4 linked regions of the Arabidopsis thaliana genome follow. The protein of the gene in region 1 interacts with the protein of each later gene in a biochemical or structural test. Each region holds a gene or a part of one and is shown in the gene's direction. Other genes may lie near its edges. The genes, in order: AT5G45780, AT2G02780, AT5G51560 and AT4G20790.

Evidence for each region.
Region 2: the proteins of AT5G45780 (region 1) and AT2G02780 form a complex in vitro, tested with the Arabidopsis thaliana proteins (one large-scale study listed by BioGRID).
Region 3: the proteins of AT5G45780 (region 1) and AT5G51560 form a complex in vitro, tested with the Arabidopsis thaliana proteins (one large-scale study listed by BioGRID).
Region 4: the proteins of AT5G45780 (region 1) and AT4G20790 form a complex in vitro, tested with the Arabidopsis thaliana proteins (one large-scale study listed by BioGRID).

The regions. Positions count from the first base shown.
Region 1 is NC_003076.8:18,564,689-18,572,755, reverse strand, and holds AT5G45780 (Leucine-rich repeat protein kinase family protein), read left to right. Parts: upstream 1-2,849; 5' UTR 2,850-3,130; coding exon 3,131-3,248; exon of another isoform or gene 3,249-3,325; coding exon 3,326-3,458; intron 3,459-3,543; coding exon 3,544-3,615; intron 3,616-3,697; coding exon 3,698-3,841; intron 3,842-3,915; coding exon 3,916-3,987; intron 3,988-4,086; coding exon 4,087-4,146; intron 4,147-4,224; coding exon 4,225-4,298; intron 4,299-4,379; coding exon 4,380-4,526; intron 4,527-4,616; coding exon 4,617-4,955; intron 4,956-5,036; coding exon 5,037-5,428; intron 5,429-5,516; coding exon 5,517-5,810; 3' UTR 5,811-5,958; downstream 5,959-8,067. Other genes in the region: AT5G45790 (Ubiquitin carboxyl-terminal hydrolase family protein), read right to left, coding at 1-411; AT5G45775 (Ribosomal L5P family protein), read left to right, coding at 6,260-6,262, 6,352-6,459, 6,555-6,597, 6,685-6,880, 7,277-7,475; RLP55 (receptor like protein 55), read right to left, coding at 7,911-8,067.
Region 2 is NC_003071.7:779,796-787,659, reverse strand, and holds AT2G02780 (Leucine-rich repeat protein kinase family protein), read left to right. Parts: upstream 1-2,737; 5' UTR 2,738-3,013; coding exon 3,014-4,274; intron 4,275-4,364; coding exon 4,365-4,486; intron 4,487-4,561; coding exon 4,562-4,808; intron 4,809-4,895; coding exon 4,896-5,089; intron 5,090-5,155; coding exon 5,156-5,193; coding exon of another isoform or gene 5,194-5,218; exon of another isoform or gene 5,219-5,272; coding exon 5,273-5,387; coding exon of another isoform or gene 5,388-5,450; exon of another isoform or gene 5,451-5,476; coding exon 5,477-5,728; 3' UTR 5,729-5,986; downstream 5,987-7,864.
Region 3 is NC_003076.8:20,943,217-20,951,125, forward strand, and holds AT5G51560 (Leucine-rich repeat protein kinase family protein), read left to right. Parts: upstream 1-2,459; 5' UTR 2,460-2,590; coding exon 2,591-3,029; intron 3,030-3,604; coding exon 3,605-3,865; intron 3,866-3,972; coding exon 3,973-4,833; intron 4,834-4,915; coding exon 4,916-5,397; 3' UTR 5,398-5,723; downstream 5,724-7,909. Other genes in the region: AT5G51570 (SPFH/Band 7/PHB domain-containing membrane-associated protein family), read left to right, coding at 6,295-6,489, 6,591-6,711, 6,814-6,905, 7,336-7,432, 7,645-7,909.
Region 4 is NC_003075.7:11,132,512-11,138,910, reverse strand, and holds AT4G20790 (Leucine-rich repeat protein kinase family protein), read left to right. Parts: upstream 1-2,487; coding exon 2,488-3,745; intron 3,746-3,837; coding exon 3,838-4,136; downstream 4,137-6,399. Other genes in the region: CML42 (calmodulin like 42), read left to right, coding at 5,027-5,602; AT4G20770 (Pentatricopeptide repeat (PPR) superfamily protein), read left to right, coding at 5,825-6,399.

The DNA.
Region 1 (8,067 bases):
ATGTGTAAAGATCTCAAAAGCATGAGGATACTTACCGATAAAAGCTCCAACATTTACATTCAAACCAACGAGATTCTTCCATCTAGACATAAGCTGCAAAGAAACAAAAGGACCACGCTTTTTGCTAGACATGAGTTTTGAAATCTCGAGGATGATGTTTAGTTTCCTAATCTGGGGAATGATTTTGTCTAATTGATGATCTCTTGTTCGATTCTCTAACCTTGTTTGTGCTGAATCTACAGGCTTTAACCATCTTCGTTGATTGTAGAAGTAAAGTGGGCATAAAAATGAAGACTTTGTTGGGTTTTGATGTGTCAAAGCTTCTCTAATGCTACTGTATCTCAAAGATTTTAGAGAATTCATATCTTTTTTACTGTGAATTTCGGGAAAAAGGAAACATTTTTCGAACATCGATCACCATTTTAGAGAGAAAGCGGCGGAGAGAGAGCGAGAACGACAAACGAGTTTAGAGAGGGTTCGGTTTTTAAGGCTGGTCGAACCAAACGGTTTTTACCTGAACCGAACCGAAATTTATCAAACCGAATTTGAATGGTATTTTGTTGACGTGGCATCAAATCATACATTATTATCGGGCGGCGAAGCTTAGGACTCTTGTTTAGGTATTTGCGTTAACTGATCAAATGATTCAAATTACATCTGCAAAACATTATTTATAGGTGTAGAAAACACTAGTTTAATCACTTCAATAATAATAATTCACTAGGAGAAAAAAGAAATTGCTTCTCTAATAATAAAATTGTTCAAATTATAATAATTTTAGTTTAATCTCCAAATCATTTACGTAACAACATGAGAGAGAGAGAGAGGAAGAGAGAAGAGAAGTGGGTACCGAGATAGATTCAAACACTTGATCTCAAGTTTCTGTGGTAACTCAACGATTTGGACGAGATGTGATCTAATGGTTAATTTAATTGCTCGAGTTATTATTCAATACACTTAACTATTAAATTAGTCAAAACATCTATAATTCCCTAAAGCGAAATCAAAAATATAAAACTTAACAAACAAGTTTAAAAGAAAAAAATTGTAATTTACTGTATAAAAAAATGTTTTATTTGATATTTAGAAAAAATAAATAATACAATATTTATTTTATTATTTAATTTTCATAAATGATTGAAAGATGCTAACACTATAAATTTAAAAATATCTTTTATTTTAATTACAAAACTAATATTTGTAAGTTTTGTTCAAATTATTTCATGCACCTACGAAAAATGGTGGATCCACGTGACTTTACAAAATAATATATGGTTCAAAATCTTTAAATATATGAAAAAACAATCACATTAGCAAAACATTAACTTAAAAATGATAAAAATACTATATGACAATATGACATGGACGAATTGTGTGCATACACAACCTAACCAATATTCAGAAAATAATTCTATATTTTTAATGATGTCGTAAGCAGTGGCTTTGGTGAATTATGCCATAGACCGTCTTTGCCACTTTGATACCATTTCGAATTTAGTTTGGATCATCTTATCGTTCACATTTTTGCTTTATGATATATTTGCGCTTTTATTACTATTTCATAGTATAATTTTACCCACATTCTAAATGATATGTATGAGAGATTTTACAATGATTTGAGATCAGTAGCAGAAATGCAAACATACTAACATAGGTAATATAAAAAACTCAAGAAAGCATTAGATCCAAGATCAATTATATCCAAACTCAAAACTAAAAAGACCAAGCTGTTTAAGACCAATACATAAGTAATTTAAACAAGAATTTGTAAAATTTACTCTACTGAATTACAAGGTAAATTATTTTAGTTAGTTTGTAATTCTACCGTTTGAAGAGGATAGTTGTTACGCACTTGCAAAAAAGGATACCTTTTACACACTTGCCAAAAACGTTGTGTATTGGGATACCGAAAATTATGGTATCTCAAAACACGTTGACCCCGTTACGATTAAGGCGGTTGGTGACCCTAATGAACTTTTTCTCGGTACCTTCAGTTACTTTGATTCTACCTATATCGACTCTACCTCAGTCATTTCAGGTAAAAAAATTTAATATTATATTTCTAGAAAAATGTTCTTTAATATTATACTTATAGAATCTTACGTGAGATGACTTTGGTGTGGATATTGTAGATGAAAAGCAAGCAAGTGACGTTATTATCAAATCAAAGATCATTTCTTGGGCGAAGGATAGTCCTGAAGTTGCAAATGAACTATTAATTGCAGGATATAAAGGGTATCGGTATGTACAAGACCTACTAAAAACTCAAGGACATAATGTTTTTTTGGGATAGATCTCTGAAAATTCGTCGCGGAATTATTTCATGTTAAAATGGTATGAGAATGGAAGCGATTAGCAGAGGAATGAGGACCATTAACACATGAAGGAATTATATGTCCTAATTGCAACGAAAAAGTGTAAAATGAGGCTAAACAAGATTTATGGAGAAAGGGTAAAATGACTAAATCAGCCGTGCATGAGCACATAAGCATTATATTGCATGTTTTAAGAGTCTTGAAGCTTGAAGACTTTGCTATTACTCGAAATGTTATCAAAAATTAATTAAAACTTGATAATTATTTTAGTCGCAAGATAATTATTTTTTGTTATTGTTACAAAAATCATCACCATTCAAATATTGTGTCACACCATTTATTCCATACTAACCCAACTTATTACTAACCCAATATCGTTCATACGAGCATTAGTCTTGAGCATTATTGACTTTTTCAATGGTGAAATAAAGATAAATCAAGCCGTTGATCGGAATACCATATCAGATTCAAGAGTGTGCTGTTGTACCATTGTTCTCGTAGAACCGATTACAGAGGATCTAATCTCACTAACACTGTCAAAAGTCAGATATAAAAACAAAAAAAAGTCTTACAGAACAGAAGACAAGGAAACAATCGTTTGACAACTTCGAGGATTTTCCCGCTTCCATTTGCTATAATCGTCAATTTCTTTATTTGTCTTCTTCTTCTTCTTCTTCATCTCGATTCAATTTAATGCCAAAAAAAACTTATCTTTTTAATGTATTTATAATGTTTCAAATGGTCTGCCCTAGAAGAAAGGGCATACAAATGATAACTAACATTGAAGTCTAGAGAATTCTTATACTTTTTCTACGATGGAGATTTCTTTGATGAAGTTTCTGTTTTTAGGAATCTGGGTTTATTATTACTCTGTTCTTGACTCTGTTTCTGCCATGGATAGTCTTTTATCTCCCAAGGGTGTTAACTATGAAGGTGAAAAAAGTATCAAAGATCTTTCTTTTATTGTGTAAAAAGGTTTTGACTTAATCCATATTTTTGGGTTATTGTAGTGGCTGCGTTAATGTCAGTGAAGAACAAGATGAAAGATGAGAAAGAGGTTTTGTCTGGTTGGGATATTAACTCTGTTGATCCTTGTACTTGGAACATGGTTGGTTGTTCTTCTGAAGGTTTTGTGGTTTCTCTGTGAGTATCTTTTGCACACCACTTGTTCGACTAAATGTCTCTGAGAAACGTTTCTTTGCTGAGTTTATTGAAATCTTTAATGCAGAGAGATGGCTAGTAAAGGATTATCAGGGATACTATCTACTAGTATTGGGGAATTAACTCATCTTCATACTTTGTGAGTTAAATGAATTTGTGGTTAATCTTGGAATTCAAGTATGTGTTGTTGTAACTAATGGGGTTACTTGTTATTATTGTAGGTTACTTCAGAATAATCAGTTAACTGGTCCGATTCCTTCTGAGTTAGGCCAACTCTCTGAGCTTGAAACGCTTGATTTATCGGGGAATCGGTTTAGTGGTGAAATCCCAGCTTCTTTAGGGTTCTTAACTCACTTAAACTACTTGTGAGTTTGATGCAAAGATTCTTGATTTACTTAATGTTGCAATTGTTATTTTCTTACAAGGTTAAGTCTTGTAGGCGGCTTAGCAGGAATCTTTTATCTGGGCAAGTCCCTCACCTCGTCGCTGGCCTCTCAGGTCTTTCTTTCTTGTATGTCTTACTCTACCTAACATTACAGCTCCAGGAAATTTCTATTTCGTATAATGTTTCTTAGACTAATGTTTTTTTATTTATGAAAAACTTGAATAGGGATCTATCTTTCAACAATCTAAGCGGACCAACTCCGAATATATCAGCAAAAGATTACAGGTAAGATATGCGAAAAATGCATGATTATTAGCCGTTGCAACTTATGTGAAAGCTTCTTGATAAACTTTTCTGTTTTAGGATTGTAGGAAATGCATTTCTTTGTGGTCCAGCTTCCCAAGAGCTTTGCTCAGATGCTACACCTGTGAGAAATGGTATGTTGCTTCGAAAATTCTTTGCAAAACTTTATTTAAAACATGGTTTCGTTTATTTAACTAGCTGCAATCGATCTGCAGCGACGGGTTTGTCTGAAAAGGACAATAGCAAACATCACAGCTTAGTGCTCTCTTTTGCATTTGGCATTGTTGTTGCCTTTATCATCTCCCTAATGTTTCTCTTCTTCTGGGTGCTTTGGCATCGATCACGTCTCTCAAGATCACACGGTACATATCTAATAGTCTCTCTCTGTCTGTCATATACAATATATGTCAAGACTTTGCTAAAATCTGCATTACTTTTTATGGATTTCTTAGTGCAGCAAGACTACGAATTTGAAATCGGCCATCTGAAAAGGTTCAGTTTTCGCGAAATACAAACCGCAACAAGCAATTTTAGTCCAAAGAACATTTTGGGACAAGGAGGGTTTGGGATGGTTTATAAAGGGTATCTCCCAAATGGAACTGTGGTGGCAGTTAAAAGATTGAAAGATCCGATTTATACAGGAGAAGTTCAGTTTCAAACCGAAGTAGAGATGATTGGCTTAGCTGTTCACCGTAACCTTTTACGCCTCTTTGGATTCTGTATGACCCCGGAAGAGAGAATGCTTGTGTATCCGTACATGCCAAATGGAAGCGTAGCTGATCGTCTGAGAGGTTTTCAATTAACACATTTCTTGTTTTGTTATTCTTTCGATATATAACGCGAAAAGTTCCTTATAAGATTACATGTTTCAGACAATTATGGAGAAAAGCCGTCTCTAGATTGGAATCGGAGGATAAGCATTGCACTCGGCGCAGCTCGAGGACTTGTTTACTTGCACGAGCAATGCAATCCAAAGATTATTCACAGAGACGTCAAAGCTGCAAATATTCTACTTGATGAGAGCTTTGAAGCAATAGTTGGCGATTTTGGTCTAGCAAAGCTTTTAGACCAGAGAGATTCACATGTCACTACCGCAGTCCGAGGAACCATTGGACACATCGCTCCCGAGTACCTTTCCACTGGACAGTCCTCAGAGAAAACCGATGTTTTCGGATTCGGAGTACTAATCCTTGAACTCATAACAGGTCATAAGATGATTGATCAAGGCAATGGTCAAGTTCGAAAAGGAATGATATTGAGCTGGGTAAGTAAAAAAATTCTATGAGTCATTTACTCAACTTAGACTGAACCCATAAGGACAAAACTTAAATCTAAACCATTGGTTTTTGTAGGTAAGGACATTGAAAGCAGAGAAGAGATTTGCAGAGATGGTGGACAGAGATTTGAAGGGAGAGTTTGATGATTTGGTGTTGGAGGAAGTAGTGGAATTGGCTTTGCTTTGTACACAGCCACATCCGAATCTAAGACCGAGGATGTCTCAAGTGTTGAAGGTACTAGAAGGTTTAGTGGAACAGTGTGAAGGAGGGTATGAAGCTAGAGCTCCAAGTGTCTCTAGGAACTACAGTAATGGTCATGAAGAGCAGTCCTTTATTATTGAAGCCATTGAGCTCTCTGGACCACGATGATAGACTTCATAGTGTCTTAACTAGTCTTCTTGATTTTGTTGTCATTGTCATGGCATTAACTGTAAAAATTTGTTTTCTCAATAACTCTTATTTATTCTGTTCTTCCAAAAATAAATGAAGATTTGCGTTTCCACAGTCTCATAAAAAATTATCTATCGTTAATTTTAAAACTCATACATAATAAAGTGATTCGGCGAATGAAAGACTATTTGCCTTATGTAACTAAGAAGGCCAAATATATGCTTAAGATTATGCTTTTCTTATGGGCTTTATAATATTGGCCCATTAAACCATTTTAATAAATCAAAGGGGTAATTTCGTCATTGCGTTAATTCAAGAAACCCTAAGTACCGACCCATATAAGTTCTCTCACTTTGCACTCGACGCAGTTTTGGGCTTTGCAAACTCTACACTGCTTCGTCTCTTAGCTCGACATTGATCTCCTTAAAATGGTATTTGTTTCGTTCGTCTCTGTAGATCGATTCAATGAAAATGTGTTTAGTTCAATGGGTTTATTTTTCGGCTTTGTTTTGTTTCTCAGGCGTCGGAGAAGAAGCTCTCGAACCCCATGAGGGACATTAAGGTTCAGAAACTTGTTCTCAACATTTCCGTTGGTGAGAGTGGTGATCGTCTCACTCGTGCCTCCAAGGTTCGATTTTGTTTGTAAAAATCTGACCTTTACGATTATCCATCATTGATTTAGTGATTTAGATTTGAATTATTGTTTTTGGTTATTTCGTATAGGTGTTGGAGCAGCTCAGTGGACAAACCCCTGTCTTCTCTAAGGGTATGTGAATTTGAAATCTTTCAGGGATTTAAGTTTGATTTTGTGTTGATCTTGATTCTGATGTATGTTGTGGTTTTTGTTATACAGCGAGGTACACTGTGAGGTCTTTTGGTATCAGGCGTAATGAGAAGATTGCGTGTTATGTGACTGTGAGAGGTGAGAAGGCAATGCAGCTTCTTGAGAGTGGTTTGAAAGTTAAGGAGTATGAGCTTCTTAGGAGGAACTTCAGTGACACTGGTTGCTTTGGATTTGGTATCCAAGAGCACATTGATCTTGGAATCAAGTAAGTTTTCTGTTTCTTTTGCGATGAAAGTTTCCTTGAATTAGTTACATTAATGGCTTTGTATAATGGTTTTGGTACTTGGATTCTTCATGTATCTGTATATGTTTAAAAGAATTTCAGTTGCATCTAAATGTCAAGTCTCTAAATTAGGGGTTTTGTGAGGTTTAGTCAGAATGCAGACTACTTTGGTTTTCGCTGAGTGTTATAGTTTTTGTGGAATTTTAAGTATGGATTGGATTAAAAATGAGCCCTTTACTAGTTTTTGGTTGAATGCTAGATTTGGGTCTAGTAAAAGATGAATGCTTTACTGTTTTTCAAGGGTGTTAGATTCGAAACTGATTAACTGGTTTATTTGAAATGTTTACTGTTCTCATGTGTTTTATTTTGTGTATATAGGTACGATCCTTCCACTGGTATCTACGGAATGGACTTTTACGTTGTCCTTGAACGCCCAGGATATCGTGTGGCTCGCCGCCGTAGATGCAAGACTCGTGTTGGTATTCAACACAGAGTAACCAAGGATGATGCAATGAAATGGTTCCAGGTCAAGTATGAAGGAGTTATCCTCAACAAGTCTCAGAACATCACTGGTTAAAAAGTGTTTTGATCTTTAAAGATTTTTGTTGATTCTAGCTTATTTTAAGTTGTTATCTTTGGATGTTAAAGAATTTCTTGTTGTAGTAAATCTTTTGACATCAGTTTGGTAGAATCTAAATCTTCCAAGAACCTTGGAGATATGTTTCTTATTTTATTCAATGTCATCATCAAAACTAAAATCAATCAAAAGCAGCTCCTTTGATTTCATTGTCCTTATAGATGAATATGTCTCTGGACTACACAGTCCCTAAACTAACCCTATGTTTTGAACAAATTTGTATAAATAAAACTAAAGATACTCATAACCACAATTCATAAATACACTCATAACCACAATTCATAAATACTAAAACAGGAGAAAATAAAATAAAACATTTAGAAGGAGAGAAGGGTGAATACACAACCAATACAAAATTACTACGTCCCAGACTTCTCAAATCAAACGACACCTTTTAGCGAGATAAAAGAGGAAGAGGATTAAGAACACAAGCGAGAAAAGACCAATGCCGAGACCAAACAGAGTCTTGTTGGAACCTTTGTGTTCTTCTTCTTCTTCTTCCTTCGTCTTCAGATTCTCCGTCTTCTCCTCA
Region 2 (7,864 bases), on another chromosome or scaffold:
CGATTTTGAAACGCATTAAATGTTTGTTAATTACGTTTATTCAAATTGTGTAAGGGTGGTACAATAAGTCAATCAACCAAAGTGGATGAACACATAATGACCAAAAAAAAAAGAAACTTTCTTTTTTCTTTTTATTGTAGTAATGAATTATTACTACGTTAACTATGACATTATCTATAGTACACACTAAATTTTATTAGAATCATCGTTCTGTCACCATCTAAATTAAAATTAAATTATTAGAATGCTAAGTGTCATATCATATGATTTAGCTATAAATAGTTAACCAAAAAAAGAAGCTATAAACATATAATACTTTATAATCTTCACTTCATTTACAAAAATATACTGCTAAAACTGTAATTTGGTATAAGAACAACTGATACTTGAATTTCAAATTATTTAATTAACAGATCAAGTCGAATATTTTATAAATATTATCAAAAGCTGATTAAAACAACAGAAAGACTCTTTTCATTCTCGTTACTCAAATCGCTCTGTTGACGTACATAAACAATTGTGTTTACTCCTCTAAGTCTATCTCATATTGACTTACATAAACAATTGCCCAACAAATGTCTATATTCAATTAAAAGCAACAAAGAAAAAACACTAACTAAAAAAATAGAATCATAATCTGAAACGAAAACTAACTTTTTCTTTGTCTCAATGCCGATCAATTAGCCTCCATGAGCAGTAATCCTACAATTATAAAGAAACGTATTATAATGGTTAAAACTCTTGTCATCAATCCAAAAACACTCATACTTAATCTTAGATCTCAATTTGAGATAAATTCGAAATAAGCCTAGATTTCTAAGTTACAACAAATTTTATTGATTTTAATCAAATAATAAAAACATATAAATAATTATTTCATTCACATAAATATATCTAAGAAAGATAGACACACATAATTAACAAAAGATAAACTAAATCGTATTAGAGTCATCATTTTGTCACCATCCAAATTCAAATTAAACTATTAGAATGTTAAGTGTCATATCATGTGGTTTAGCTATAAACATGTAATACTTTATAATCATTTTAAGTTATTTCTTATTACCATCATTCACTGGAATTTGTTTTACAACTTTTGTACAGTTGATCTTTAATAAATGAGCTAAAACTAAATAGAAGATTTTAAATTTTGATGATTGTCTATATATTTAGTGTAAAACAGTAAATGAAAGGCAAAAAAGCTGCAAATCAGATTCTGAATAAAAAACATGTTATGACGTCTAATCAAAGTTTTAGGATCCGAGAAGTTTACTTTTCTTGAAACACAATAATCGAAAGTTTTGTTTAATCAAAAGAAGCTCATAAATAAATTCTAGGATCCTAAATAGCTAAGTAAAAAACAAACTGAAATAGATTACAATGAATTCATACATTACATTTTTGTAGTTTGAGACCCTAGAAATACGATCTTGTTCCTCCTCTTTTGTTTATAGGCTCAGTTTTAAACCTTAATAAATTAATAATCTCGGAACCGATAAATTCTAATTAATTTATAAAGGTATTAATTTATTAATAAATCTTATAGAGAGATTTTATTAATTTTGTAATTTTTTAAAATTTCTATGTGAGAAGTAGTTTTTGTCTTTATAATCAATGTCTTTCAAAAATAAATTACAAATAAAAAACCAATTGTTAAGTTAGTAAACAAAAAACACTTTGTTCAATATAGTAAAAATATTAGAAATGAACTCTACTAAAAATTTTATACAAATTTAAGAAAAATGAACAATACTAGAGTTAAATCCCACTAATTTAATTAAATATATATATATATATATTAATAAGTGTAAAATTATTAATTTATGATATTGATGAGATCATATGTTTACGTAAGAGTTTTTAAAAACTTATTATTTTATAATTTCATTGATTTGTGTTATTTATTACATTGAAAACGTCAAGAATTTATTAATTTGTAAAAATAGTAATTTATCGAGGATTAGTTTATAAATAATTTACTGTATTAGCATTCACAAGGAATAAGCATAGTACATATATGTCCCAATGTTAAGTAAATCATTTTTTGTATAATTACTTGTCAAAAAAAAAAAAAAAAAAAAAATCATATAGAAACTAAAATATTTGGAAATATATATGGACTCAAAGGTTGTACAATTTTGGGCCTAACCGTATTATATATAATATACGGGCTAAATGTTACACGTATGAAGCCCAAAATAACCTCTCTTTTTTTTTGTCAAACTTGATTTGTAATTGAATTTTAATAAAATTAAATAATTGAATTTTAATAAAAATTAAATAATTGAATTTTAAATGCATATTTTTCGATAAAAAAAAAATGTCTGTTGCAGAAAATATTAAATGATACTTTCGCAGTGACGATTATTCCAAGGCCGTTTGCATGTGCAGATGTGCTTGATCATATAAAATCCATTCAAATTTTCTAACATTAGTAAATGAACAGTTCATCAGAATAAAAGAAACAGCTCGACATTTGGTAGAATCTCTAACCACACTTTTAAAGAAAAGACACAAACCTAATGGCTTCTCTCTCTCTCTCGAAGACAAAACACGACATAAATTTCTTAATCCTCATTACCTATCACCGACAAGTAATGAAACATCTCTATAATCTTATCTGATCAATCATATATAACCAAAAGCACTTGTTTTACTAATAAAACAAAGCAAAAATCATGTGAAATACAAGTTCTTATTGTTAATTTGTTATAGTAGTAATCAAATCAAATAAATAAACATTTCATCTTCTTGGATTCATTGCAAAACAGTCTGTCAAGTTGAGGTTGTGCAATGTGCAGTAATGAACAAACAACCAAACCAAGTTTAAGAACTTAAAGATTGCATTTATTGCCTCCACCTTAATTGGCTTTTCTACTTTCATTTACTTCTTCTTCTTCTTCTCTTGATCCAAAGTTTTCCTCTACACTACCTATAGATCTGTCTTTGTTCCTAGAAAAATGATAACTTTCAGTGAGTTTCTGTTTCTCTAAAGGCAAAACACATCTTCACTATGCAGATTTCTCTTCAAATCCATTTATCTTCCTTCACTTTTCTTCTTCTTATTTTCCTTCTTCCAGTACTCTCTGAGTCTCAGGTAGCTTCAAGTGAATCACAAACTCTTCTTGAAATCCAGAAGCAACTACAATATCCACAGGTTCTTCAATCATGGACTGATACAACCAACTTCTGTCACATTCGTCCGTCTCCTTCCTTGAGAATCATCTGCCTCCATGGTCACGTAACAGAGTTAACCGTCACCGGGAACAGAACTAGTAAGCTCTCTGGAAGTTTTCATAAACTCTTCACTCTTCTTACACAACTATCGAGCTTAAAGACTTTGTCTCTTACTTCTCTCGGAATTTCTGGTTCTCTTTCTCCTAAGATCATCACTAAGCTATCACCGTCTCTTGAGTCTCTCAATCTTAGCTCTAATTTCATCTCTGGGAAGATTCCAGAAGAGATTGTGTCTTTGAAGAATCTGAAAAGCCTTGTTTTAAGAGACAATATGTTCTGGGGTTTTGTCTCTGATGATCTCAGAGGATTATCAAATCTTCAAGAGCTGGATTTGGGAGGTAATAAACTCGGTCCTGAAGTTCCTTCACTCCCAAGTAAGCTCACCACTGTTTCATTGAAGAACAACTCCTTTAGATCCAAGATTCCAGAACAGATCAAGAAGCTGAATAACCTTCAAAGTTTAGACCTTTCTTCCAACGAATTCACCGGGTCGATTCCAGAGTTTCTGTTTTCGATTCCTTCTCTTCAAATTCTCAGTTTGGATCAGAATCTGTTAAGCGGGTCACTTCCAAATTCTTCTTGCACCTCCTCAAAGATTATAACTTTAGACGTGTCTCACAATCTTTTAACTGGAAAGCTTCCTTCTTGCTACTCTTCAAAGAGTTTCAGTAATCAGACAGTGCTTTTCTCATTCAACTGCTTGTCTTTGATTGGCACTCCTAACGCGAAGTATCAGCGTCCGCTTTCTTTCTGTCAAAACCAAGCAAGCAAGGCAATAGCTGTGGAACCTATCCCCAAGGCTAAAGATAAAGATTCTGCAAGAATCAAACTCGGGTTAGTGATTTTGATAATCATCGGTGTGATCATCCTTGCAGCAATTTTGGTTCTGTTGGTTTTGATTGCCCTCAAAAGAAGAAGATCAAGATCAGAAGATGATCCTTTTGAAGTGAACAACAGCAACAATGAGAGACATGCCTCTGATAAAGTCTCTGTTTGCAGCACCACAACTGCCAGCTCTAAGTCATTACCAGATTCAAGTAAACAATGACTTATCTTATTAATACTTGGACACTTGAAACTGAGTCTTTCTCTAGCAAAAACCATTAACAGGATCTTTCTGAGTGTAGGACGTGTACCACAGACAATGAGATCTGCAGTGATTGGTTTGCCACCGTACCGCGTTTTCTCCTTGGAGGAACTGGAAGAAGCGACTAACGACTTTGATGCAGCTAGCCTGTTCTGCGAACAGGTAAAAACAAAAACTTGACTTGAGACTCTGGCGACGAACCTAATAGATTACTTAATATATTTGGTATTCGAACAGCTGTATAGAGGTTGTCTAAGAGAAGGCATACCAGTGACAGTGCGAGTTATCAAGCTGAAGCAGAAGAGCTTGCCACAAAGCTTAGCTCAACAGATGGAAGTTTTATCAAAGCTAAGGCATATGCATTTGGTTAGCGTTCTTGGACACTCCATTGCCAGTAACCAAGACCACAATCAACACGCTGGACACACCATCTTCATTGTTCAAGAATACATCTCTAGTGGATCATTGCGGGACTTTCTCACAAGTAATAATAACCTGAAAAAGATTAGAATATATATTCAGGTTTCCATAGACTCAAATGGTTATTCATTATGGGAATTTTTGTGATCAGACTGTAGGAAGAAAGAGGTACTGAAATGGCCTCAGAGAATGGCGATAGCAATAGGAGTCGCTCGAGGGATACAGTTCTTGCATATGGGAGTAGCACCAGGAATCTTTGGGAACAATTTGAAGATAGAGAACATCATGCTTGATGAAACACTCACAGTAAAAATCAGTGGCTATACTATTCCTTTACCATCCAAGGTATAAAACTTTGTTTTATTTCTTCTTCTATTAATTGAATCTAAGAAAATTTAATGGCATTTCTAGGTTGGAGAAGAGAGGCCTCAAGCCAAAAAACCTCGGAGGTTGTTGTTGTTTCTTAAGATATGATCAAATGTGTTCTCTTCTATCAAATTTTGAAACTTGTTAATGAATAATGTGCAGTAATGAAGATAGAGAGAAAGAAGATGTGTACCAGTTTGGAGTGATACTACTACAAATCATCACAGGGAAAGTAGTTGCTGCAGGATCTTCAGAGATGGGAAGTTTGAAGCTTCAGGTCTGTTCTGTTTCAGTCAGAACCTTTTCATCTTTAAGAATCCGACACGGCTTACAAATTTAGAACCTCAATGTTATTATTTCCTGCAGCTGGAGAACGGTTTGAGAGATGAACCATCAGTATTGAGCAGCTTAGCAGATCCATCTGTTAAAGGATCATATGCTTATGAGTCGTTGAGGACGACAGTAGAGTTTGCTATCAACTGTCTTTGCGAAGATCAGAGCAAGCGTCCTTCCATAGAAGACGTTGTGTGGAATCTACAGTATACAATTCAAGTGCAGCAAGGATGGAGACCAAGCAGTGGGAATCATGAATCATCCATGAAAGCAATATATGAATGAAATGATCATAAAGAGAGGCAAAAACTGTAGAAACAATAATAAGTTTCAAACAAGTCAAGATGTAGTTTCATGGACTACCTGAAATATCTTTTATTAGCTAACTTAGTAATCTGTGAATAAAAAGCAAAAGGAGTTGAAAAACACACAAAGACATGTAAGAGAGTGTGTCCAGCTTTGCTCGACAACATTGCAGACTCTTCTGTTGTATTCGCGCTTGCTTTCGCTGAACATTCGTGCATCTCTTAAAACAAATCAGCAGTCTACAATCTTGCTAACCTGCTTGATGAAGACATCAAAATCTTCAAAAACCTTCACAGGTTCTTTATAACAAGAATCTCTGTGCCTGGAATACTATAGAAAATCCCAAAAGTTACTGCAAACCTCTCACTATGCTCACGTCTAACCTCTCCATCTCAACCACACTCCGTGTTTCGGGCAATCTCCAATACAGAAGTCTCTACCTCATCCAGCATTCTATAAACTTCCTTTGTTATGACTTGTATCGCTAGCTAAAAACAAGTGCTTGTGTTCCACATAACTATAATAACCATAGCTATACCCAGGTTAGGTAAGATGTCGAAAACAGCAAGTGGCTTTGCCAAGTTACCTCACCTAGCATACATACTACTGATCAATGCATTTTCGCTCACAAAACAAATTTTGTTACAATACCATTGGCTTTTACTAGCTTCTTACTTCTTGACCAATCTCTTGAGCCTCCAAGATAGATAGGCACAAGAAGACAGGATCATGACAAACGCTCGATGATCACAAACACATACACACCAGCTTCCTTCATTCGAGTTTGATATGTGAGCTCTCGTAGACGCACGTTCCATGGCGTCGAGAAGCCACCGCAGCGACGGTCATGGATATTGGCACTTTCGATGAGCTTGGCGTGTGGGGTATTTGTTTATGTGTCTATGAACCATTTATTGGCAAAAGGGTATCGACCAAACAAGATGGTCCATGTGGATGAGCCTGGTTATAAGTTTTTGGCTGTGTTGTTTGAAGTTGTTGTCATTGCCATTGTTATGATATGGGACACTTGAAAAAAACACCAATTGACTCATTGATTTCTCAGGTTTGTAAAGAAAGGATGTTGATTTTGAATTGTTTATAGCAATCCTCGTATTGTAGTGTACTTTGTAGTTTGTAGCATCAAAAATAACAACAACAATAGTAGAAGAGATGTTTCTCTTTTTTTTTTTTTCGCCAGAAGAGATGTTTCTCTCTTATTCCATTTTGACAAGGTTTATCTTAACGGTACAGTATAAAGATGGGCCTATAATTGTTGAGTTGGGCCTGTAGTGGCCTTGTAGGTGTTGTTATTGGCTTCATTTGGGCCCGCCACTAGAACACCAAATGGACCAATGGGTGATTTATTTTGGATATCAGTAGACCAAAAATTATATCAAATTATAAATTTGGGTCTGATTTGTATCAGTGGACTGATATCTTTGATACTCAGTATCATGTGACGTTGCAGCATACGGTTGGTCAATATTTTCGCTCAAATCAGAGAAAAAAAAAATCTTTAGTAATCTTATGTTATAATATATTAATTTTTGAATTTGCAAAAAAAATTTTTTTATACTTAACCGGTCTCACCAATATAATCATATTTAGTAGGAGTATCATAAAAAATCTCAAATAAAAATCAAATATTATAAATAATACTAAAAAATTACTCATGATACTATATAAGTATCACCCCATATCATGCTCTTAGAATTGTGAAACTTATAAAACTGGTCTTTTTGTTAGGCAATGGTGAGGCTTTTTTACTTTCAGGTTTAAAAAACATGTTGAAGCATTAGAGTGTTGATGAATATAAGTTTCCCTAGTAAATAGTATCTTCAGTCTCAGTCGTGGAAGGTGTAGAAATGGGAAAATCTCATAGAAGAAGTAATTATGAGTCATCGTAAACTAGAAAGAAGACGAAAAGATAGCATTACGATAGTATTGATGACGTTCTGGTTTCGTAATTAAAGTGTTTTCATTTCCCAATACAAATGACTTTTGATATTTCTTCTCTAATAAAGAAAGTCGCTTATAAATCTCAATCATAGCGAGAAGTTTTCATTTCTTCTAAACTTATTCAAAACCCTAGTTTATTCTTACAATAATCCTTCT
Region 3 (7,909 bases), 2.4 Mb from region 1:
ATTTAATTATATACTAGTCAGCAAGCAGAATCGTACAGCTGAGATTGAAAGCTCTCTGCTAAAATGGGCCACTAAAAGTTTATTTTTTGGCTATTGGTGGGTCTCACTTGTTACACTGACGTTACGGTGACACTGAAGGACAACCACTGACGCCAGACAGGCAACACCTGGCATATATGTGGATTTATACGCTGACCTGGCAGTGTTGACTCCTTGTTTTAAATGACACGTCATCTGAGTGTGAAAGAGACAGACGTCGCGTGAATTTTGCGGGACTTTTTTTAACTCCCTAGACCGCGTGTGAAGTGTACGCTCCGGTGAATGGTGAGGCCCATCGTTAGTTTTGGTCGTGTTGCATTTAATTCGTTTCATAATGTTCTTTTGTAGACTTTAGTGGTGAATTTAATTATTTTGTAAGGTGCGATGACTTTCTTGACAGTGGAAATTTTTTCACGTTTTCACAAACATGCATGATTGTTTATTTTCAGTTCGATGATTAGTGACCTGTATTTTAAGTGACAGTGAACAGGAATCTCGTTTTTCACCACAGTTAATTGGGATGCGATTCTTGTTATCTAAGTTAGAATCGTGGATGCGATGATGAAGTTTGTATTTTCTATTGATATTGTTTTACCCAAACCCAAGAGTCGAGAATGAATTTTTATGTCGTTGCTATTTATTCTGAACTTATGTCGTAAATGTTGGGATCAATAATTTAAGGTGACCGAGTCGTGACCCACATGAGTGTCGAGTGATTATTACAGCTTCGGTGAAAACGAGTGAAAAGTGAAAACGCAAACATTATTTTTAGGATCTTCTCTTTTGCTCACGAAGAATTGTAGTACTATTAGATAATCTCATAATCCTGAATGAGTGTTTTTAGTGGGATCACAATCCGAAATGACTATTTAAGCGTTAAGATTCAAAACAACTTCACATATATATAACCTTCAATGACTTCAATTTAATATATAGTTTGAAATTTAGTGTGAAAATCAAAATAATCGAACCTCGTTAATATTTTTAGTTTCATTCATGTTAAGTAATTCAAGCCAATTTTCCTTTTATAGTTTCTCTGCATGCAAATTTATATTTAAAGTGCGTGCATGTTGCATCACTTCAGTAATATGGTAGAATGCAAATTCGTTAACCGTCTCTATAGTTCATGACTTCATGATAGCATAAGAGATAAAATGAATTCAGGGATTTATGTGTAATCATTAAGGAATGAGAAAGTCACATAAAGCATGTAAAATAATTTTTGGGTCGTTATTTTTTTTTACTACGATGAATCTCTGCTCTCTTTTATATATTTTAGTCATGACTGAATAATGACAGGCAATTTTAATAATTTAAGATAAGTATGCGGTATGCCATGATCGGTAGACGGTAGCTCAATACAATTCCGACACAGAAACTAGTTTTTTTTTGGGTATTTGATAATGGGCCTTTTAGCAATTTTCTAAAGCCCAAATTTATTATTCTTGCTTCACGCAATATTGTTTAAAGCCCAATTTAGAGAACATGATTTCCATTCCGAATTCGTCGCCCAGTCACTTATTAGATTAATAGATTGCATTGCATTGCTTGTGCTTTCAATTTACAAATTGTCTCCCAACTCCATCGACACATCTCTTTTTGTGTATATAAGATTCAGACTTGTTATATTTTTTTTATAAATATGTTATTAGCATCTTAAGTTAAATTGATTTTTTATATCTGCATTAAGGATTACACGACTATATTTGCGATTGTGTGTTGGTTAAAATATAATTTAGGATTGTCTTTAACTACATTTAGGATTATATGACTATATTTGGTTAAATATAAAATCTAGCTGTGATTATTAGTATTCAAAAATAAGTAGCCTAACCAATTAAAACAACGGCTATTGGGGCAAATTAGAACATTTTAGTGTGTCCAAAATATAATGGTCATTAGGTCATATTCCTCCTAGCTTCATCGCAGCATAATTGAATGATTGCCTTATTTAGAAGAGCTTTTCCACTTTCCCAAAATCTATGTGGGATCTTTTTGTTTTGACCTTCATTTTTCTTGTTTACCATTTTTAGCTAAATTATTTACGATTACAAAAGATATCAAAAGTTGGATCATAATACAATTTATAGACTTACTGTAGAAAATTCGTATGTACAAGTACAACAAATTCTTCATAATAAATTTTGAAAATTCTATTACAAATGTTGTAAGAAATAGAATTTGAAATATATATAAACTAAGGAGAAAAAAAAAGAGAACATGCATTGCTCTAGTCAGAGTGGACCAACATCAACGAGATAAGATAACATAAAAACCAACTCACCATAACTAAAAACATCCCAAGAGATCCAACGATTCATATCAAACACAAAAACATCGAACGATCAGATTTAAACCATCTCTGGTATCTCCAAAACACAAACACTTTTTTTTTTCTTTTGTCTGAATGGAACAAAAGCATGCGACATCTCTGTGTCTTTATCTTCTCTCTCCTCTTCTTGAAAAACTGAACCTTTAATTCTTTCTTCACATCTCCTTTAGCTTTCTGAAGCTGCTATCTTCAAGCTCAAAACCAAACCCTAGAAATAAAATGACGGCGACACAAATGCTGCTTCATCTTCTTCTTCTTCCACTTCTCTTCCTTCACTTCAGCAACCAAGTCATGGCAGAAATCACCGACGAGTTAGCGACATTGATGGAGGTTAAAACAGAGCTTGACCCAGAAGACAAACACTTAGCTTCATGGAGTGTTAATGGAGATCTGTGTAAAGACTTTGAAGGTGTTGGTTGTGACTGGAAAGGACGAGTTTCTAACATATCTCTACAAGGGAAAGGCTTATCTGGTAAAATCTCTCCGAACATTGGAAAGCTTAAACATTTGACGGGTTTGTTCTTGCACTACAATGCTCTTGTTGGAGATATTCCTAGAGAACTTGGTAACTTGTCGGAACTTACGGATCTTTATCTCAATGTTAATAATCTCTCCGGTGAGATTCCTTCAAACATTGGGAAGATGCAAGGCTTGCAAGGTTAGTTCTTTTTTACTTTAATTTTAATCTTAATCATTGATTAAACTTAAAACCTAAATTTAGCATTGTTAGATCTTTGGTTTCTGCAAAATTCTTGTCCCAAGATTAATCAATGTTCTGTGGAGATTTGAAACCTAGAAATCTGAGCTCCTTGTCTTAGGGGTTTTAGTTACTTCATTACTATCTCTGGTAGTTGAAATTATTTGAATTAGATGATTTTGGAATTTAATGCTTTAATGATCTGTCTTTAAAACGTCCTTTTCATGTCTTTTTGTTAGGATTTTTCTTTTTGTAATTTTCCTGTAAGGAAGAATAGTCAAGAACTTTTTAAGATTCAAACTTTTAATTGGAACCATAAATGGCTTACTGGTCCCAAAATATGGACTTGAATTGAAGATAACTTGTACTTCTCTTGATTAATTTTGTTTATTTAGATAATTGATTCACTTACTTTCAAAAGGCTTTATATTTGAGCTTTAATTAGCAGGACCAGGTTTCTAAATCTAGAATTAGTTCTAAGTTAATGTAAGTCAAAGCTAAGCTTCATTCCTTTTTTGGTCTATGTTGTTGTGTAGTTTTGCAGCTCTGTTACAACAATTTGACTGGAAGCATTCCTAGGGAGCTTAGTTCACTGAGGAAGCTGAGTGTTCTTGCTCTTCAATCTAACAAACTCACTGGAGCTATACCTGCGAGTTTAGGAGATTTAAGTGCTCTAGAGCGGCTAGATTTGAGCTACAATCATTTGTTTGGTTCTGTACCAGGCAAGTTAGCTAGCCCTCCTCTGCTTCGAGTTCTCGACATCCGCAACAACTCCCTCACTGGCAATGTACCTCCTGGTTAGAAAACTGATTCACTATATGATCTTTGAAACTAACTTTGCGTATTTTGTGAAGTGTTTCTCATTTTGGTTTATATTTCTTTCTCTGTTGTACCGATTTGACAGTACTGAAGAGATTAAATGAAGGTTTTTCGTTTGAAAACAACTTGGGACTATGTGGAGCTGAGTTCTCGCCGTTGAAATCTTGCAATGGCACAGCTCCTGAGGAACCTAAGCCATACGGTGCAACCGTGTTTGGTTTTCCATCCCGGGATATACCAGAATCAGCTAATCTACGGTCACCTTGTAATGGAACAAACTGTAATACTCCTCCAAAATCTCACCAAGGTGCAATCCTTATTGGTTTGGTTGTCTCGACTATTGCATTGTCTGCTATTAGCATCCTCTTGTTCACGCATTATCGCAGACGCAAACAGAAGCTTTCAACCACTTATGAAATGTCGGACAACCGTCTCAACACCGTAGGAGGAGGTTTTAGGAAGAACAATGGTTCTCCATTGGCCAGTCTTGAATATACTAATGGTTGGGATCCACTTTCAGACAATAGGAATCTCAGTGTCTTTGCTCAAGAAGTTATCCAGAGCTTTCGATTCAATCTTGAAGAGGTTGAAACTGCTACACAGTATTTCTCAGAAGTGAATTTGCTTGGAAGAAGCAACTTCTCTGCGACTTACAAAGGAATCTTGAGAGATGGTTCTGCTGTAGCGATCAAACGGTTTAGTAAAACAAGTTGCAAATCTGAAGAACCTGAGTTCTTGAAAGGACTCAACATGTTGGCGTCTCTGAAACATGAAAACTTGTCAAAACTTAGAGGCTTCTGCTGTTCAAGAGGCCGTGGAGAATGTTTTCTCATCTATGATTTTGCTCCTAATGGAAATTTACTGAGCTATCTTGATCTCAAAGATGGTGATGCGCATGTTCTTGATTGGTCCACGAGAGTATCCATTGCTAAAGGCATCGCAAAAGGTATGAGTTTTATTTATGCCGAACCAATTTTGTTAGCGTTCTTGATTCATTTTTGTTTATGTGTTTGATGTTTTGTGTTTAGGGATTGCTTATCTACATTCATACAAAGGAAGCAAGCCAGCATTGGTTCACCAAAACATCTCAGCGGAGAAAGTTCTAATCGACCAGCGATACAGTCCTCTACTCTCAAACTCAGGCCTCCACACACTTCTCACAAACGACATTGTCTTCTCTGCACTCAAAGACAGTGCAGCAATGGGCTACCTCGCTCCAGAATACACCACAACCGGACGTTTCACCGAGAAAACCGATGTCTACGCTTTCGGGATTCTTGTGTTTCAGATAATCTCCGGGAAACAGAAGGTTAGGCATCTTGTTAAGCTTGGAACTGAAGCTTGTAGGTTCAATGATTACATAGATCCAAATCTTCAAGGAAGATTCTTTGAATATGAAGCCACAAAGCTAGCTAGAATCGCGTGGCTATGCACTCATGAATCTCCCATTGAAAGACCATCCGTGGAAGCTGTAGTTCATGAGCTAGGTAACTGTAGTAGCTGTCTCTGAGAACTCTCTCGAGGCAAATGTGTAATGTGTACCTTAGGAATCAATTAAGGAAGGGTTTGTTAGTCACCTTTTCCTGTGTTTAGGGTTAAGAAAAAGGTGCCTTTTCCCTTCCCATTAACGTTTAAAAACTGTTCAACGTGTTGTACTTTATTGGTTTGTATGATTTGTGTTTATGTTAAGCTCTTCAACCTTAGAAGAAGACAAGACAAGTACATTACTTTTAAAAAATTTCGGTAGATGGAAAATATTTATGGTACTTTGTCTTCTTTTTTTTTTATAACTTTCTGAACCAATTTATTGTCAATAATTCAATATAGAAAAAAAATAACGTATAACATTTTTTTTTCTGATATTGATCAAATCAATATCAAAAGAATTGATTTGTTAGATGGTTTTGATTTAGATTTGGATATGAGCTTTAACTTTTAAGTCTTTATTAGTCATCTAGATCTAGATACAAATTTATAAATATAAAGTCAAAGGTTAACTATTAGCATTGGCCACCAGATTCGAATAATTTACATGATTTTTCTAGACTTCAGGATTAGATTTTGGACCTAGTAAATTTTTAGAATTACTTGAGTTATTTGAAAGAAATAAATTAAATTATTAGTTGTCCACAAAAGACAGAAAAAAATATCAAATTATACTTTTCATTGGTCAAAAAAGGATTATACCAAATATCTAAGGAAGGAAGATATTGTTGATATAGCTAATTAATCAGTAACTAATCCTAACCGTCCATTTCTCCTCAAACCGCTTGATCTAACGGTAGCAAAAGGCTTCGATCACATAACACCATTTGTTTCCATAGAAACGAACGAGTCGTGGAGATTTATAAGCGAGACTTCTTCTTCTTCTTCTTCTTCTTCGAAAGCTTGAGAGTGCTGCGTAAAAATGGGTAATACGTATTGTATCTTAGGAGGTTGTATTGAACAAGCTAGCGTTGGTGTGGTCGAACGTTGGGGTCGATTCGAGCATATAGCTGAACCGGGATGTCATTTCTTCAACCCTCTCGCCGGTCAATGGCTCGCCGGAGTTCTCTCCACTAGGATCAAATCTCTTGATGTCAAAATTGAAACCAAAACTAAGGTTCGTGATCACTTATTCCTTTTGATCCTTTGCGAATTTTGGTTAATACTGTATGTGGTGAGATTCATGTAAATTAGGCTTATTGTCGTTGTTGTTTGTAGGATAATGTGTTTGTGCAGCTGGTTTGTTCGATTCAGTATCGTGTAGTGAAAGCTAGTGCTGATGATGCGTTTTATGAGCTTCAAAACCCTAAAGAGCAGATCCAAGCTTATGTCTTTGATGGTAATTTTTTTGCTTCTCTGTTGATGTTTTTTGTTTCTTTGTTTGAAGAAGCTCTGTTTTGATTCTTGATTTGTTCTTGTATGTTTGTTTTTTGAATCATAGTGGTTAGGGCTTTGGTCCCAATGATGACGCTTGATGCTCTTTTTGAACAAAAGGGTGAAGTTGCCAAGTCTGTTCTTGAGGAGCTTGAGAAGGTATAACATCTTGTTCCTTCACTATCTCATTCATTTGTATGTTTAGAGACTATTTATTCATAATAGGATATAAGATATCTGTTTTGAGATTCTTGATGTTTTGTAGTGATCCTGCATTTGTTGAGCTAACTAATAGGTGGATTATCAAGTAGGCATGTTTGGATTTCATAAAGAAAAGTTACAACGTTAAGTATATGTTTGGTTTTGTTCAAGACTATGTTTTCATTTGTGAGATTCTTGATGTTCTATCGTGATCCTGCATTTGAGATAACTAATGGGTGAATACTGAGTCTTGTGAAGTGTTATCATAGATATGTGTGGATTGCATAGAGAAAAGTAATAACATATATTCGAGGGTAGCCTGCTTTCGAGACTGGTGAAGACTTTTGTAATGGTCATGACTCATGATTGGAGTTGTTTGTTTCTTCAGGTGATGGGTGCTTATGGATACAGCATTGAGCACATTCTAATGGTTGACATTATTCCTGATCCCTCTGTACGCAAGGCAATGAACGAAATCAATGCAGGTAACCTTTATTTCCGATACTGAGGGAATCAGTGTCTGATACTTTTCAGGTCTCTAATGGTTCCCTACACATCAAAGCACAGAAAGATTTATACATTTTATGATTATAGGACTCAGTTAGATGTTTCGTTAAGAGTTTATGCGAAGTTAATTTACAGTTTGTTGACTTCATTTCAATTTTGCTTCTCAAATCCATTCTCTACTTAAATGCAGCACAAAGGCTCCAGCTCGCGAGTGTTTACAAAGGAGAAGCAGAGAAGATTCTCCAAGTGAAGAGAGCCGAAGCAGAAGCGGAAGCCAAGTACTTAGGTGGTGTCGGTGTGGCTAGACAAAGACAAGCAATCACAGACGGATTGAGGGAGAACATATTGAACTTTTCTGACAAAGTAGAAGGCACATCCGCCAAAGAAGTGATGGACTTGATCATGATCACACAGTACTTTGACACTATTAGAGACCTTGGAAACTCGTCAAAGAA
Region 4 (6,399 bases), on another chromosome or scaffold:
GTACACCAAATGGGTACACTATAATAGTACACCAAGTGAGAACACTAGAACAGTACACCACTAGTACACTAGACTAGTACACTAGCCAAGATAGAATATAATAGTAGACTAGAATAGTACACCAAATGGGTACACCAATTAGTAACCAAGTGAATTAAAAACAGTACACCACTTTGGTGCACTAGACTAGTCTACTATTATACTAAAAACATTTAGGAAATGCAATGGAATTAAAAACTATACCCTAAAACTATACACTAAAAGACATTATTGAAATGTAGTGAAATTCAAAACTATACACTAAAAGACAAAGAGAGAAGACTAAACCCAAGGAAAACCATATATCATATGGAATAAAGTTTAAAACTATACCCTAAAGCCTTAGATTACTAGAATTTAGAATTCCAAGTAAATAAATAAATTCCTAATTCAAAATCATAACCCTAGATTATTATTATGCTTCATAACACTTGAATTGAAATATATTGTATTATAATTTGGATTGATACTTTGACATTCTAGAAGTAGACTAGAATAGTACACCAAATGGGTACACTATAATAGTACACCAAGTGAGAACACTAGAACAGTACACCAGTAGTACACAAGACTAGTACACTAGACTAGTACACCAAATGCGTACACTATGATAGTACACAAAGTGAGAACACTAGAACAGTACACCACTTCGGTACACTAGACTAGTACACTAGCCAAGATAGAATACTAAACAAAAGACGTCGTGACCAACCATGGAGAATCTTCGCCGGAGAACTTGTTCAAGTGATTTGAAAGTCTGAATTTTTTCGCAGTTAATAGCCTTTCCTGGCCTAGTTTTATCAACCTTGAAATCCCACCAACCATTGGAGTAGCAAATCCACCGGCCGACCATGGAGACGCAGGATTCATCGTCCCCTGAAAAAACGAAAACAGAGTCATCGTCTCCATCGTTATTTGTTGGCCGTACACTCAATTTCATAAACTGTAAAGCTTCTTATGATAACTCATACCTTCCATCTCGACAGATTTTGACAATGTGTGTATGATTTTCGAAGTGACGAGGGTTTATCTTCTTTTGACAATGACGACTTCAGAGAAGATGTCGACGACGAGAGAAGTTTATGTTCAACGAGGGTTTAGGAGATAAGTTTATGTTTGGTTTCAATGTCTTGAGGACAAATGGGTTTGAGTTTTGTGATATTAGCCCATGACAAATCTTGAATTTTGAATGATATTGGGCTGGTTTGAATTTGGCCCATTAGTTTTCATCAAAACACAAGAGGGGTAAAACGGTCTTTGACTATTTGCTGTATTAGAGGAGGGCTGTATTAGAGAGGACAGAAGAAACTACCCTATCAGCCTATTTTTAAAAAAACTGTCTAGTTCTCAAATTATTTCCCTAAAAACTGCCTAGTTCTCAACTTATCTCAAATGACTATTCCTCTCACTTTTTGAGTTAGTGCTCATGGAAGTAGCATTTAGCTTCTGTTGAATTCACCTTTTAATGCGTTGCATTAGTGTAAAATTCTCTAACAATTAAGAAGCCTGAGTAAGTTTGCAATAAATTTTATTTTCTTTATCAAAAGTTTACCTTTTAGCTCCTGTTGAATTTCCATTTTTTTAAAGATTCATTAAGACAATAACTATTATTTTTATATATTTTTATTATTCTTAATTAAGAAAATACAAAAAATTATAAAATATGTTAATAACAAAATAATAAACAATACAACATAGGAAACTATACCAATTAAAGAAATTAAATGCATATAGATTAGATGAATAAAAATAGAAATGTAGAAAATTAAAAATTATATATATGATTCTATAAATCTAAATTTTAAATTAGGCATATTAATTTGGTAAAATTGCAGAAATATAAAGTTCATTGGATATAAAGTGAAACTATTGAAGATTTTATTGATAGTAGTTTATATAATTCAATTCAATTCTCAAACAAAAATTATATTTAACATTGAGCACATTTACCAAATAATTATCGACTCAAATTCACCCACGTAGATGTTTGTTGCGCAAGAAAGAGAAAAAGTTTAGAACAAGATAAATAGACCAAAGAGACAAGAAATATATGAAAGGAATTCGAGGCACAATCTTACAAATACAAGCAAAACCATTCTAGATAATTTTTTACCAACTGACATAAACACATTATTATGTGTTCAATGACAACGAAAATGATAATTAAACATTGAAATTTGTTTTCATAGTGGAGCTATTGTAAAAAGTGTAGATATTCACAAAATTTAAAAAACTTCACAATTATTATTATTTTAATAATCTTCAACTTCCAAGCACACGATCACTAAAAGGAAAATGGGCGCGTAAATCTCATCCCACTCTGTTTCAAAATAACCGCCAACAACAACAACACCTCCAATAACACAGAAACTACCTCTCTGCTTCTCTCTCTAATCTCACCCATACACGAAACCAAATAACGAAACCTATTTGCTCTCTATCTCTCCAATGGCGTCTTCTCTGTTCTTCATCTTCTTCCTCACGTCACTACTATCATCCTATCTTCCTCTCTCAGTATTCTCCGCAACCGTCGTCGAAGACCTCGCTAATCTAAGTCCACCTCCTGATTTCAACACCACTATTTCCAACAACTGTCTTCGTGATCCAATGCTCCGTTACTGCAACAACACTTCCTCTTCTCCAATGGACATTGTCGAGATTTTCAGATCCACAATCGTCGCTAGTCATCTCTGTAACGAGTCCAAAAACCCTAACTGCGTTGAATCTTTCCCTAGAATCAGAATTCACGGTCGTCCTAAAACCGCTGCTCTTTACCTCTCTTTCGATTTCTTCTGGAAGTACTGTCCTTTAACCGTCGTTGATATCGAGTTAGTGAATAACTCTCTAACGAATGGTTTTCCGACAAATGTTCTGTCTTGTGCTCAGATTCGTACTCTTGATCTGAGTTACAACCAATTCTCTGGTTTTGTTCCGGTTCAAGATCTCTCAGGCTTACCCAATCTGACCCATTTGAACCTATCGTATAACCGATTCTCCGAGAATAAGATCTCGGATTCTGAGTTCTTCAAACGGTTTAACGCCTCTAGTTTCATACAGTCCGGTGTTCTTCCCAACGTGAAGCGTTACAAGATGAAAGTTTTGGTCTTGTTGATTGTTTTTCCAATAATGGTGATTTTGCTCTGTTTTTGCTTTGGCTGGTTATGTGTCAAGAGACCTGATTACTTACCAAGAACATGCCGGAGAAGAAACAAGTTCACATTCGCGATGCTTGAAGCAGCAACGGATGAGTTTTCAGATCAACATCTTGTGAGCATGAGCAATACAGTGGATATCTACAAAGGAACGTTAAGAGACGGGACAGAGACGAAGATCGAGGTTTATAAAGAGAAGGTTTCGAGTGAGAAAAGGCGTGAATTCGCAGAGGTATGCGAGATGGTTTTTAAGTTACGACACAAGAACTTGGTAAGAGTGTTGGGTTGGTGTAATAGTAGAAACATGAGAGCTTTGGTTACAGAATGGATTCAAGGTGAAAATGTTGAGACTTGGTTAAGTTCGTCAATGGCTTTATCATGGAGAAGAAGGTTAAGAGTAGTTCTAGGAGTTGTAGAAGGTATTTGTTATCTATCAGATCAATGGCCAGAGATTACATTTGATCTCACCACAAGCAGTGTTTTGTTATCCGATGATAATCAAGAACCTTTGATTTCTCATTTCAAGATTGGAGATAGAAACAACTTGTCAACAAGTAAGGCTTCATCTTCTTCTTGCAAAAATCAAAACCTTTTTAAGGCTATAAAAGCTAAGTCTGTTGTTGTTGTTGTTGTTGTGTTATTACAGATATATTCAACTTTGGATTGTTTTTTGTGGAGATGATTACAAATCTAAGACCTGATTTGGGACAAGAAGATTCAGAAAGAAGGTATCTTGAGTATATAAGAGTTCATTATCCGGATAATCTAGAGAGAGTGATTGATGAGAAGATGAAGATTGAGGGGAGAACATTTGATCAAGTTAAGCAAGCCATTACGCTAGGACTGATGTGTACTGATATAATACCACCATTAAAGCAACCAAGCTTGACGCAGATTTATGACTTGGTGAGTTCATTGTATGAGTCTAGTTCACGACATCATTGAAATACCTTGTAAAGCTTTATTGGTTTCTTTTGATTTTCAGACATCTGGTGTTAGATAGTATTGTAAGGATTAAAGACATATTTGTGTGTTTTTTCTTTGATTACTATAAGTACTGAGAGAATTTGCAGAAAATGAGTACTTAATTTGCAGACATGAAATCTGTAAATGGGCTTCATTTCTGCAAATGGGCTTTATTAGCTGAAATGGGTTTCATAGTTTTATGGGTTCTCAAATGACCCGACCCGGGTTGGAAGATATAGAAACTATACACTGGTTGGCAAATGGGAACGTTCGATTAAAAATTCGGTAACTACTACGACGTGACTTGTCTCTTCTCCGTTGAAAAGCCATCGACAGTTATGTATGAGTGTATCATTTATCAACTTGAAAGCAATTTCAGTTTTTAAAATAATCCAAATACTAATAAACCAGAAATTAACCCATCATCAAAGCATTAATAATCTTCATTACCATTTGAAACCGAAACTTGTATCACAATTAAATAACGATCATAAAATTAGACGTTTTTTTTTCTCTATCTCCATTTTCCCGGGGGAAAAAAGATCGGATTTTTGTTCTAATGTCATTGTCAAAATATTATTCGACAGATCACAAAAAAGGTGACCGTTTTTTTTTTTTTTTTTTTTTGGCAAAAAAAAAGGTGACCTTTTTATTTTGACATTGATAGTATGAATTATGGGGTCTGATGCTAGAAGTTCTTACATGGCGGGCCAGACAAAGTCAATGCCGGCAACAACGGACTCCTACACATAAATTTTTTAATTCACCAATTGTTTCTCTTCTATAATTAGCCCTCATCACTCAATTTCTCAATCTCAGATTATAATTCCACAAACGAACAAGAAGAAGAAGAAGAACACAAGATAACAATGGAGAGTAACAACAACGAGAAGAAGAAAGTTGCAAGACAATCATCATCCTTCAGACTACGTAGCCCAAGCCTAAACGCACTTCGTCTCCAACGAATCTTCGACTTATTCGACAAAAACGGCGACGGATTCATAACCGTCGAAGAGCTAAGCCAAGCTCTAACACGTCTTGGTCTCAACGCTGATCTCTCCGATCTCAAATCCACCGTTGAATCATACATCCAACCTGGTAACACTGGTCTCAATTTCGATGATTTCTCTTCTCTTCACAAAACACTCGACGATTCTTTCTTCGGTGGAGCTTGTGGAGGAGGAGAAAACGAAGATGATCCTTCTTCCGCAGCTGAAAATGAATCGGATCTCGCCGAGGCGTTTAAGGTGTTTGATGAGAACGGTGATGGATTCATCTCCGCTAGAGAACTGCAAACTGTTCTGAAGAAACTTGGTTTACCTGAAGGTGGAGAAATGGAGAGAGTGGAGAAGATGATCGTTTCCGTTGACCGGAATCAAGATGGTCGCGTTGACTTTTTTGAATTCAAGAACATGATGCGTACTGTTGTCATCCCTTCTTCTTGATTCTCCAAAAAAACATTTTTTCTCCAAAAGATTATTATTTTTACTTTTTGTCTTTTAAGTTTGTATTTTTTCCAGTTTATGTAATGATTGATTCAAACATTATAAACAAATAAATTTTTTCTTTTTTGTACTTACTGAATTTGGCACGAAAAATTCGTACCAAACGCATATTGTCGCCTATAAACAATATTCAATCTAATATATTTGTTTGAAAGAAAAAAAATGCGTAGCGGAGGGAATAAGTATTTAGCGAGTCTCTTGCGTTGTTATAGAGATGAAAGGTGTAAACTTTCTGGGAAAGTTATACATGGGTTCATTGTTAGGATGGGAATGAAGAGTGATACTTATCTATGTAATCGTTTACTTGATTTGTATATTGAGTGTGGTGATGGGGATTATGCACGGAAGGTGTTTGATGAAATGTCTGTAAGAGATGTTTATTCTTGGAATGCTTTTTTGACGTTTAGATGTAAAGTTGGGGATTTGGGGGAAGCGTGTGAGGTGTTTGATGGAATGCCTGAGAGAGATGTTGTGTCGTGGAATAATATGATTAGTGTTTTGGTGAGGAAAGGGTTTGAAGAGAAGGCTTTGGTTGTCTATAAGAGGATGGTTTGTGATGGGTTTTTGCCTTCTCGGTTCACGTTAGCTAGTGTTTTAAGTGCGTGTAGCAAGGTTTTGGATGGTGTTTTTGGTATGAGGTGTCATGGGGTTGCTGTTAAAACGGGTCTTGATAAGAATATTTTTGTTGGGAATGCGTTGTTGTCTATGTATGCAAAGTGTGGGTTTATTGTTGATTA